Oryctolagus cuniculus: one gene and its partners. The protein of the gene in region 1 purifies or fractionates together with the protein of each later gene. This does not show direct contact. Links are inferred from orthologs where the notes say so. Each region holds a gene or a part of one and is shown in the gene's direction. Other genes may lie near its edges.

Region 1 (3,718 bases):
CTGGTTGTTTCTGCAGCCCAACCCCCTCCTCAGTAACTCTAGAACCCAGGGAAAAGAAGCTCTCTCCCCCCACCCCTGTAAACCATACGATCAACAGTGACTCCCAAACTTCAATGTACAAATGAATACTAACCACCTGCCGATCTTATCGAAATGTAGGTTCTGATAAATTACTTCTGGGGTGAGACCTGTTCACTCCATATTTCTGACAAGCTCCCAAGTGATGTTGTGCAGCTGGTCAGCTGGCCACACTTTTTGATTATCAGGAGCTTGAAGGACATTTCAGAGAATACATACTGCATGTAGTTTTAAGGGCAGAGTTAAGATGCCTCCTGTTCCCATATATCCTAGTTGTATAACCTTAGAGAAATAATTTTTCTGAAGTCCCTGAGCCTTCCTTTTTCAGCACAAACAACATGCCGAATACACAGCTAATAACAATAATAGCTAATATGTATTGTGTTCTTATTATGCACCACGAACTGTTTCATATTTACAAACTTATGAATAAGACTTAGGTTAGAAAATTTGTCCATAGGCATATTTGTAGGCATAGTACATGACAAACTGAGATCTGATTATAGGCAGTTTGACTCACACCACCTAGAGTATAGCAATACCTCTTCAGATAGCTCCCAGGGCCATTATGAAGATTAAGTAATAATCTGTACTTAACTTTTGTTGGCGTTCCAAGCCCTGATCTAAGCCTCCTCTGAGGCACACTAACCCCTTCATATTTATAACAGCCCCAGCATCAGAACCCCATCTTACAGGCTTTAACATAGGCCCAAGCAAGTCAAACAGTCAAAGCTCAGTGTCACAACCAGAACTGGAAGCCAGGCAGTGTAACTGCAGAGCCCGGCCATCTTTCTCCAGGAGAGGAAAGAAACGCGGGGCTCTGCGGGAGCGCTCTGGGGTCGGCGCGCACCTGCGCCCACTCAGGACAGTTTGCCCGCTCTGCTTAATACAAAAGATAACCAATCTTCTTAGCTTTATGTAAATCTGTGGGATATGTCTTTTTCAGTCCACACCCAGAACCCTGAGAGCGGATTATGACTCTGGTGAAACAATTTGACCCCCTAGAAGCATGATTAGTTAAATATCTTTACAACAGATTTACACTAAAATCGTTAACACCTAGTTGTTCCAGAACCCACATCATCTGCCCCCCATACACATTTGCACGAGCCCGCGCCCCATCCCGGACCGCCTCTCTGACCACCCCTCTGCCTCGCTGCATCCTGGGAGATGCAGTCCCATTCAGGCTCCAGAATTTGTAGTACAGGCTCCTAGCGCCAGTTTACCTGCATCCAGACACGAGCAAAAAGGGGCCGCCTCTAATTCCATCAGCTCTCCAACACCGCCCTCTGCTGGCCCGTTGTCCGTCGTGGGAATGGAGCCGGTTCCGGGTGCTCCGGAAGTGAACCTTTCTCTTCCGGGTTGAGCGTCCGGGCGGACACACGTGGTTGCTGTGCCGGTTTGTGGGTCGGCAGTCGTGAGAGAAGTCGCTTCAACTGTGGCCCCCAAAGTGACTAAGCCGAGCCGGAGCCATGGAGGGCCACAGCGTGGAGGAGCTGCTGGCAAAGGCGGAGAAGGACGAGGCAGAAAAGCTGCAGCGCATCACGGTGCACAAGGAGCTGGAGCTGGAGTTTGACCTGGGCAATCTACTGGCTTCCGACCGGAACCCCCCAACGGGACTGCGGCGGGCGGGACCCGCTCCGGAGGCCGAGCTGCGGGCCCTGGCGCGGGACAACACGCAGCTGCTCATTAACCAGCTGTGGCAGCTGCCGACGGAACGCGTGGAAGAGGCGCTGGTGGCGCGGCTGCCCGAGCCCACCACCCGCCTGCCGCGGGAGAAGCCGGTGCCCCGGCCGCGGCCGCTTACGCGATGGCAGCAGTTCGCGCGCCTCAAGGGCATCCGTCCCAAGAAGAAGACCAACCTGGTTTGGGATGAGGTGAGCGGGCAGTGGCGGCGCCGCTGGGGCTATCAGCGCGCCCGGGACGACACCAAAGAATGGCTGATCGAGGTGCCCGGCGGCGCCGACCCAATGGAGGACCAGTTTGCAAAGCGCATTCAGGCCAAGAAGGAACGGGTGGCCAAGAACGAGCTGAATCGGCTGCGTAACTTGGCCCGCGCGCACAAGACCCAGCTGCCCAGCACGGCCGGCCTGCACCCTACGGGACACCAGAGTAAGGAGGAGCTGGGCCGCGCCATGCAAATAGCCAAGGTCTCCACCGCTTCTCTGGGGCGCTTCCAAGAGCGCCTTCCTAAAGAGAAGGCGCCCCGGGGCTCCGGCAAGAAGAGGAAGTTCCAACCCCTTTTCGGGGACTTTTCGGCTGAGAAAAAGAACCAGCTGGAGCTGCTTCGGGTCATGAACAGCAAGAAGCCCAAGCTGGATGTGACCAAGGCCACCAATAAGCAGATGAGGGAGGAGGACCAAGAGGAGGCCGCCAAGAAGAGGAAGATGAGCCAGAAGGGCAAGAGAAAGGGAGGCCGGCAGGGGTCTGGGGGCCAGCGGAAAGGGGGCCCGCGCAGCCACGGGGGGAAGCGGAAAGGGGGCTCGGGAAGCAAGATGAATTCCGGGCCGCCGGGCTTGGGCGGCAAGAGGCGAGGAGGGGGAGGAGGGGGACAGCGCCCAGGAGGAAAGAGGCGGAAGTAGCAGTTTCACCCTGGGACCCGAACTGTAAACCAAGACCTGCACGTGCCAAATGTTAACATCCAGGGACCATAGGCGGGGGCGGGGGAGGCGGCTGCTGCCTTCCGAGAGCTTGAGGCTGACGGGACGGGATTGCCCTCCCCTCGAGAGCCTGTAAGTTGTCAGTTCTACCGGGTTGATGTTTTCCCCACACCTGAGATTGGCTGGAGATTAAGGATGTGCCAGAGGACGTTAAGAATTAGGGAAACAATGTGTTGATGAAAACTGGGAATGAGTTCTGACAGAGTCATCTTTTTAACTTTGGATATGGGGTGAGGGAGAGCCGGCCACACTTCCCAACCTTAACAGATTGATTTATACATTTCTGCATTATTTTTATAACAAGTATGTAGATTTATCAGCAGTGGGGGAGGTTACAGATATTTTCAGAACTGGGTTTACAAGAAACAGATGTAATGGTTATTTAATAAAGTGTAACTGTATCCAGTGTTGACTTTAACTTTTTTTGACTATTGTGGTAAATGTATAAGGCCAGCAACCTGCATTCCTAGTGTTTTCACTTTCTGAAAACACAAAGCAGTTAAATTATAATGGTTTCAGCAAAGCCACTTTTATTAGAAAAATAACTTCTTTTGGAATCAAATTCAATATTAATAATGTAGTACAATTGGTAGCTGCTTTAAGAAACATTTCATGCTTTACAGCACTGAAAACATTGCTGTAACTCAAGAATTTAAATACCAACAAATCTCATTAATTGAAAAATACTTCAATGTTTCTCAACGTTTATGAATCTACCCTGCTTTTTCCCACTGGGGAAGCCAGTGGCCCACAGAGTCATCCTTAATTGGAACGGTGCTTACACTGACCTGGGCTGGGTTGTTTAGCAGGTGAAACGTTGAAAGCTGTCTTGGGTCTCTTCCCTGTCCCATCAGTTTCTTCCAGCTTGATCTCGGTCAGCTCCTCCGTGTGTAAAGATAAATACTACATTTCCTGAGAACTCTGCCACAGTGCTGGAAGCAATCCAACTGTTTTTGGTCTGACAATGGATAAGAGGCGTT
Region 2 (3,747 bases), about 34 Mb from region 1:
TTTAGTTCTGTTTTAATGCAGGTATTTAGGTTACTACAAGCAGTAGTAAAAATTTTTTTAAAGATTATTTGAAAGTCAGTTACAGAGAGGCAAAGAGAGGTCTTCCAATGCTGGTTCACTCCCCAAGTGATCGCAGTGGCTGGAGGTGGGCTGATTGAAGCCAGGAGCTTCCTCCAGGTGTCCCCTGCTTTCCCAGGCCATAGCAGAAATCTGGGTCAGAAGTGGAGCAGTTGCCCATACAGGATGCTGGCAATACAGGCAGCGGCTTCATCCACTTTGCCACAGTGCTGGCCCTAGAAAGTGGAATTTTATTTGGTGCTTCTTTACCCCATTAGTCATAGCTACATGTTTCTGTCACTAGAGTTGAATGGTCAGCTGTTAAAAAGGTTTCTGCTGTTAAATAGAGGGGGAAACAGACTCACTGGTTTATTTTGGTGTGTGGATTTGCCTGTAATGCTGTTCTTAAATCTCCATTTTAGGTTTCCCTTGGGGGCTTTGAAATAACACCACCTGTGGTCTTAAGGTTGAAGTGTGGTTCAGGGCCTGTGCATATTAGCGGACAGCACTTAGTAGGTATGTTCTTTTCATATACTGCATTGTATATATATATATATCATATACTGCAGTTGCTTGGCTTCTGGTTTGTACTTAAACCAGGCTTGGTTATACTATTACTGTTTATAGTGAGTTCCAGTGAGAACCTTAAATTAATGATAGTAAGGGCATGTTTAACAACAAAATCCTTTAAAAAATTCTGTTGCCATTTGCTGTCCTTTTGTTGGATTTTTAAGTGTTCAGCATTCTATAGTATTAATCTTTATTTTTCCTGAATGATTCTTGTTTGAGTTTTAAAATAAATGTCTGATAATTTTATTTTAGCTGTGGAGGAAGATGCAGAATCAGAAGACGAGGAGGAAGAGGATGTGAAGCTATTAAGTATATCTGGAAAACGATCTGCCCCTGGAGGTGGCAGCAAGGTGCCACAGGTAGAGATGTCATTTCACTGCAGATTTGCATTACAGCCTTTGTTAGGTGGTAACAATCAGCATTTGCTCATAAGTATATTTTCCTTTTTAGAAAAAAGTAAAGCTTGCTGCTGAAGAAGATGATGAAGATGACGACGACGACGATGATGATGATGAAGAGTGAGTAGCATGCTTTTATGTGCATGGGTGGTAATTTTATGGAAATGATTTACCAGAGTTATTCTGTGCAATAGTTCATAATTAAAGGGATTCATGTGGTCAGTGGTTGTCAGCAAAAAAATGTTGGGACTGAGCCTTTAAAATGCTGCTGTGCATTGTGGCTTTTCCTAAGAGTAGAGCATGCAGCATTGGTAGGAATGGGAAAGTAGAGACAGAATCCTTCCATCTATTGGCTTACTCCCCAAATGGGCTGAACCAAAGCAATGAGCCCAGGAGTTTCTTCGACCTCCCATGTGGGTTTGGGAGCCTAAGCAATTGGGCGATCTTCCACTGCTTTCCCAGACCATAAGCAGAGAGTGAATTAGAAGGGGAGCAGCTGGGACATAAACTGGCACACTTATGGGATGCTGGCACCACAGATGGAGACTTAGCCTGCTGTGCTACAGTGCCAGCCCCAGTAGATTTACTTTTTAAAATGTAACCACAGTGTCGGAATTGTCCCTTTGTGTATATAGTAAGTAGATAATGCTTAGGGAGAAAGTAAAGTATGGGTGGTCCAAATCAGCACATTTTCGAATAGAGGAGAGGGTAGTCAAAAGCATGTGTGTGCTAAGGGACGTCATGGTTGCCTCAAGGGGGCTGAGGGTTAAGAGCATGGCATGGATGATGGTTAAGATGTGAAAAGATGAAATAGCCAATTGGCAGTAGACTTTGAACAAAGAACAAGGTGAAAGGGAGATCCTCTTTTGAGGATGGAAAGGGTATGGCACAGCTTAGTTGAAATTTATATCTGGATTCTATACTAGTATTGTTGGACAGTGTCTTCTGTACTGAATACAGACTTGATTTTTAATCTTTCATCATTTTTGTTAGGTGTAAGAAGTAACTTAGAGGTGATTTGGAGTATATGTATGTGTATATGTATGCGGACACTCTTATAAGTGGTTTAAATATCCCTGGATTGTGGAATACTTGGATCCTGGAATCAACACCCTGTGCAGCCATCACCTAAAAACAATTTTCTGTTTTTACATTTATTTGAAAGAGTTAAGGAGAGAGGGAGAAACAGATCTTAACATCCACTGATTTGCCCCCAAGTGGCTACAGCAGTCAGGGTGGAGCCTAGCCAAGAGCCAGGAGTATCAGTGAGTGGGAAGTGTCTAAAACTTGGCCTTTTGAAGTTTTTTTTTAAAGACAGATTCTTTTATGTCTTAAACCGATTTATTTTTAAAACTTTTTATTTGAAAGGCAGAGTTAGAGAGGCAGAGAATCTTCCATCTGTTCACTACCTAAGTGGCCGCAACAGCTGGAACCAGGAACTTCTTCTGGATCTCCCGTGAAGGCACAGAGGCCCAAAGACTTGGGCCATCTTCTGCTTTTCCAGGCCACAGAGGAGATGGATGTGAAGTGGAACAGTTGGGTCTTGAACTGGAGTCCATACGGGGTGCTGGCACTGCAGCTGGTTTAACCCACTGCGGCACATCACCAGCTCCTTGAACCTTTTCTTGGGCCGTTATCAGGAAGCTGTATCTGAAGTGGAGTAGATGCGACACCACGTCACTAGCTGCACAAATCATTTTAAAATGGTGTAACTGAAAAAATCATTTCCCTTAGCTGTGACTCCTCATGTTCCTCAACGAATGAACTTGGTCTTTATATTTGTAGATTTGCCTATTCTAGATGTTTCGGGTAAATGGTGACTGGAGGTTTAACTCTTCGGGAAAAAAAAGCCTGGCAGTTCCTCTAAGTGCCTGAATGATTCCTGCCAGTGGTGGGTTGTATACATACCTACCCCACTGGTGTATAGTATCATTGTGGTTTTGATTTGCATTTCCATGGTGACTGGTGATGGACATATACCATATGTATATCTTTGGAGAAAAATGTTGGTCAGATCCCTTGCTCATTCAAAAATTGCTAGAGTTCTTTATATTCTGGAAGCAAGTACCTTAGGTGATTTGCAAATACTTTCTGCCATTTTCTGCCATCTTCAGTAACTTGGTGGTAGCCTTTGCATAAAAATTCGTTTTCATGAAGTACAGAATTTTTTGCTTTGCTTTTGTTAAACCTAAAACACCGTTGCCAAATCTGAGGTCGTGAAAATATACTAGTAGCTTCAGCATTCATATAGGTCTTAGATTACTGTTTGAATCACCAAGTGAGAACCCTATGTGGTTTTAGGACAGATTTTTCCAAGGAAGTCAGCATTGTTGTAGGGATTCTGTTGAATATTGTCATTAGATTTAAGTCTACTGTGAATTTTTTGTGTCTTTAGGGTTTTTTTTTTTTTTTATTTTTTTTATTTTTTAAGATTTATTTGAAAGAGTTAAACAGAGCACAGAGAGCTTCCAACCACTGGTTCACTTCCCAGATGGCCACAATGGTTGGAGTTGGGCTGATCCAAAACCAGGAGCCAGGAGCTTCTGGGTCTCTCCCATGGTTCAGGGGCCCCAGAACATGGGCCATCCACTACTGCTTTCTCAGGCCATAGCAGAAAGCTGATTCAGAAATTGAGCAGTCAGGACTCAAACCATCACCTGTATGAGATGCTGGCACAGCAGACAGAAGTTTTATCCACTCTGCCACAGTGCTGGCCCCTAGC
Region 3 (3,280 bases), on another chromosome or scaffold:
CCCAAGTTTATTAAGTCTCAAAGCCTTATCCAGAAATTAGAAGATGGAGTTATCCTCCTGTGGCCTCATTCCTGATTCTCAATTCTTTGTCCAAATGCTAAACATGGTCATTAACATACTAGAACATCATGTCATCTCCTTGCATTTGGCAGCTGGGACAGTGAAGCTTGGAAACAGACAAGCATTTTTCCCCCTGCACCCTGCTTATTATTTAGTGGAAAAGCAAACTGGCTTCATTGCCACCGTGATACACGTAGGTTGAGCTCTCACATTCTTCCTGCTTTCCTGAAGTTGGGATTGTCGTCCTCCAGCTCCAGGTCTTGGCTTCCCTCCAACCTCTGGCTTCTGCCAGTCCTTCAGTTAGACCCATCTTACAGTTCTACCACTGTATTCACTATGTTTGTGGGTTTTGCTTTTAAATTGAAATGCTCTGTCAGTTAAGGAAGATTCCCTAATAATACATGGGTTATGTATAAAAAGTAAAACGACGAGGGGCCAGCACTGTGGTATAGAGGGTTAAGCTACTGCCTGCAGTGCCGGCATCCCACATGGGCACCTATTGGAGTCCCAGCTGCTCTACTTCTGATCCACCTCCCTGCTATGGCCTGGGAAAGCAGCAGAAAATGGCCCAAGTGCTTGGGCCCCTGCATCCATCTGGGAGACCCAGAAGAAACTTGCTCCTGGCTTTGGCCTGGCCCAGTCCTGGCCACTGTGGCCGTTTCAGGATTGAACCAGTGGGCGGAAAATATTTCTCTTTCTCTGTTTATATCTCTGCCTTTCAAATAAATAAGTCTTAAAAAAAAAAAAAAAAAAAGAGATTCCTTGTTGTTAATTTCTGTGTTTATTGTAGATTTTACAGAAAGGGAAAAATGTTGGAAGCACTGATCTTCAGAAATCTACAAATGGCCAGGTAAATTTTTTAAAAATTTTTGAATTATATGGCAGATAATAGAAAAAGAATTAAAAATGTATATTCACATAGTTGGTAAATGTATAGATTGCTAAAGTCTTAAAATTTATTTGAAGGTGGTAAATGTACCTTCAAAGAAGAAGAAAACTTCTGGCATACCTAAGAAGAAGAAAAAAAAGACTTCAGGTACTGCTAACACTCCTGAGAAGACTGTGGATAGCCAGGTAAAGTTGTCTTCAATATTCTGGGCACCATGGTAAAAACTGTTTGGGGAAGAGAAGCAATTTCTGCTACTGTCCTTTTGTTAGGTTTCCAATTTAACCTTGTGATATTTTGGTAGGACTTTAGTGGTGACTTGGCAACTTTATCTGCTGTTACATCACCAAAAATAGAAGCAGGCCTAAAATAACAGGGCACAGCTTTGTGAAAATTGAGGGGAGGCCGGCGCCGTGGCTCAGTAGGCTAATTCTCTGCCTTGCGGCGCCGGCACACCGGGTTCTAGTCCCAGACGGGTCCGGATTCTGTCCCAGTTGCCCCTCTTCCAGTCCAGCTCTCTGCTATGGCCCGGGAGTGCATTGGAGGATGGCCCAAGTGCTTGGGCCCTGCACCCGCATGGGAGACCAGGAGGAAGCACCTGGCTCCTGGCTTCGGATCAGCGCGGTGCGCCGGCTGCAGCGCACCAGCTGTGGCAGCCATTGGAGGGTGAACTAAAAGGAAGACCTTTCTCTCTGTCTCTCTCTCACTGTCCACTCTGCCTGTCAAAAAAAAAGAAAGAAAGAAAATCGAGGGGATATGATTGTCTGGGGTGAAGTCATTCCTGAAGTCACTCCACATTTGTGTATTACAAATTTCCACTTGTTGGTTCCAGGGCCCCACACCAGTTTGTACACCATCATATTTGGAGAGACGAAAATCTGAAGCAGCTGAAATGAAAGATGATGAGAAAGATGATGAAATAGTTTTCAAACAGCCTGTATCTGATGTAAAAGAAGAAACACAAGAGACTCAAACAACTGCACGTTCAGGGAAGAAAAGACGAAGAAAAAGCAATCCATGATTCTGAGTGTATTTTGTATAATATATCTTCTGGAAAATGTGATGATTTTATGACTCTGAGTATTACTGTGATACTACGGAATGCAACCATTGATGGGATTTTTCAGAGAAAAACAAGCTATTTGATTGCATCACTCAGGAAACCAATCAGTGATTTTGGCTTGTCTGCCCTTGCTAAGGCACAGTGTTGCAGTGGTTGGCTTCATAGTGTCCTTGTCATAGTCTTGTTTTCTTTTTAGCTTTCATAGCTCTCCTTAGTTATTCTGCCTACATAAAAACTGGTCATCATTAAGTTTAAGTACTAGGGGGCTGGCGCTGTGGTGCAGCAGGTAATGCCTAGCCTGAAGTGCTGGCATTCCATATGGGCACCGGTTCGAGCCCCGGCTATTCCACTTCCAATCCAGTTCTCTGCTATGGCCTAGGAAAGCAGTAGAAGATGACCCAGGTCCTTGGGCCCTGCACCCACGTGGGAGACCCAGAGGAAGCTCCTGGCTTCGGATCAGCACAGCTCTGGCCACTGTGGCAATCTGGGGAGTGAACCAGCAGATGGAAGACACCTCTCTCTCTCTCTCTCTCTCTGTAACTCTCTGTAACCCTCTGTAACTTTCTTTCAAATAAGTAAATAAATATTTTTTAAAAAAAGAAAAGGTTTAAGTACTAAAGTGCAGCATTTTTGTCACCACCAAATGAAGACCACCAATCTCACTGACATAGTAGTTGTACACCTTTAACTTGTCAGGGTATTTTACACAGAAATATCTGGTCTTTGAAACTGCAAGTGCGAATATATAGAAGGCTATTCAAATGTTAGTACAGATTCATTTGTGTGTTGATACAGATTGAAATATGACTCACTTTCCAGTTATGTAGGTTTTGGTAGGTTAGCATGATTAAATACTTGTTTTAAGTCAATATCATCAGTGTGCAATTGGATTCTGAGATTGAGAGATCCATTTACAGATGGGTGTTTAAAGAGTCTTGGGGGAGGCCGGCGCTGCGGCTCAATAGGCTAATCCTCTGCCTGCAGTGTTGGCACCCCAAGTTCTAGTCCCAGTCGGGGTGCTGGATTCTGTCCCAGTTGCCCCTCTTCCAGTTTAGCTCTCTGCTCTGGCCCGGGAGTGCAGTGGAGGATGGCCCAAGTGCTTGGGCCCTGCACCTGCATGGGAGACCAGGAGTAGCACCTGGCTCCTGGCTTCTGATCAGCGTGGTGCACCAGCCGCCGTGGCCATTGGAGGGTGAACCAACGGTAAAGGAAGACCTTTCTCCCTGTCTCTCACTGCCCACTCTGCCTGTAAAAAAATAAAATATAAAAAG

What was found. Proteins that work in one complex are often made in the same cells at the same time.
Region 2: the proteins of RRS1 (region 1) and NPM1 purify together in Homo sapiens (affinity purification with mass spectrometry; 3 studies listed by BioGRID and IntAct, counting the BioPlex papers as one, with this or other methods). This does not show direct contact. The link is inferred for Oryctolagus cuniculus from reciprocal best matches to the Homo sapiens genes RRS1 and NPM1.
Region 3: the proteins of RRS1 (region 1) and NIFK purify together in Homo sapiens (affinity purification with mass spectrometry; 3 studies listed by BioGRID and IntAct, counting the BioPlex papers as one, with this or other methods). This does not show direct contact. The link is inferred for Oryctolagus cuniculus from reciprocal best matches to the Homo sapiens genes RRS1 and NIFK.

Annotation. Positions count from the first base shown.
Region 1 is NC_091437.1:92,090,167-92,093,884, forward strand, and holds RRS1 (ribosome biogenesis regulatory protein homolog), read left to right. Parts: upstream 1-1,431; 5' UTR 1,432-1,550; coding exon 1,551-2,660; 3' UTR 2,661-3,156; downstream 3,157-3,718. UniProt on the Homo sapiens protein: Involved in ribosomal large subunit assembly. May regulate the localization of the 5S RNP/5S ribonucleoprotein particle to the nucleolus.
Region 2 is NC_091437.1:58,117,918-58,121,664, forward strand, and holds part of NPM1 (nucleophosmin), read left to right. Parts: intron 1-479; coding exon 480-573; intron 574-879; coding exon 880-986; intron 987-1,077; coding exon 1,078-1,145; intron 1,146-3,747. UniProt on the Homo sapiens protein: Involved in diverse cellular processes such as ribosome biogenesis, centrosome duplication, protein chaperoning, histone assembly, cell proliferation, and regulation of tumor suppressors p53/TP53 and ARF.
Region 3 is NC_091434.1:128,346,808-128,350,087, forward strand, and holds the end of NIFK (MKI67 FHA domain-interacting nucleolar phosphoprotein), read left to right. Parts: intron 1-850; coding exon 851-910; intron 911-1,026; coding exon 1,027-1,134; intron 1,135-1,778; coding exon 1,779-1,967; 3' UTR 1,968-2,613; downstream 2,614-3,280.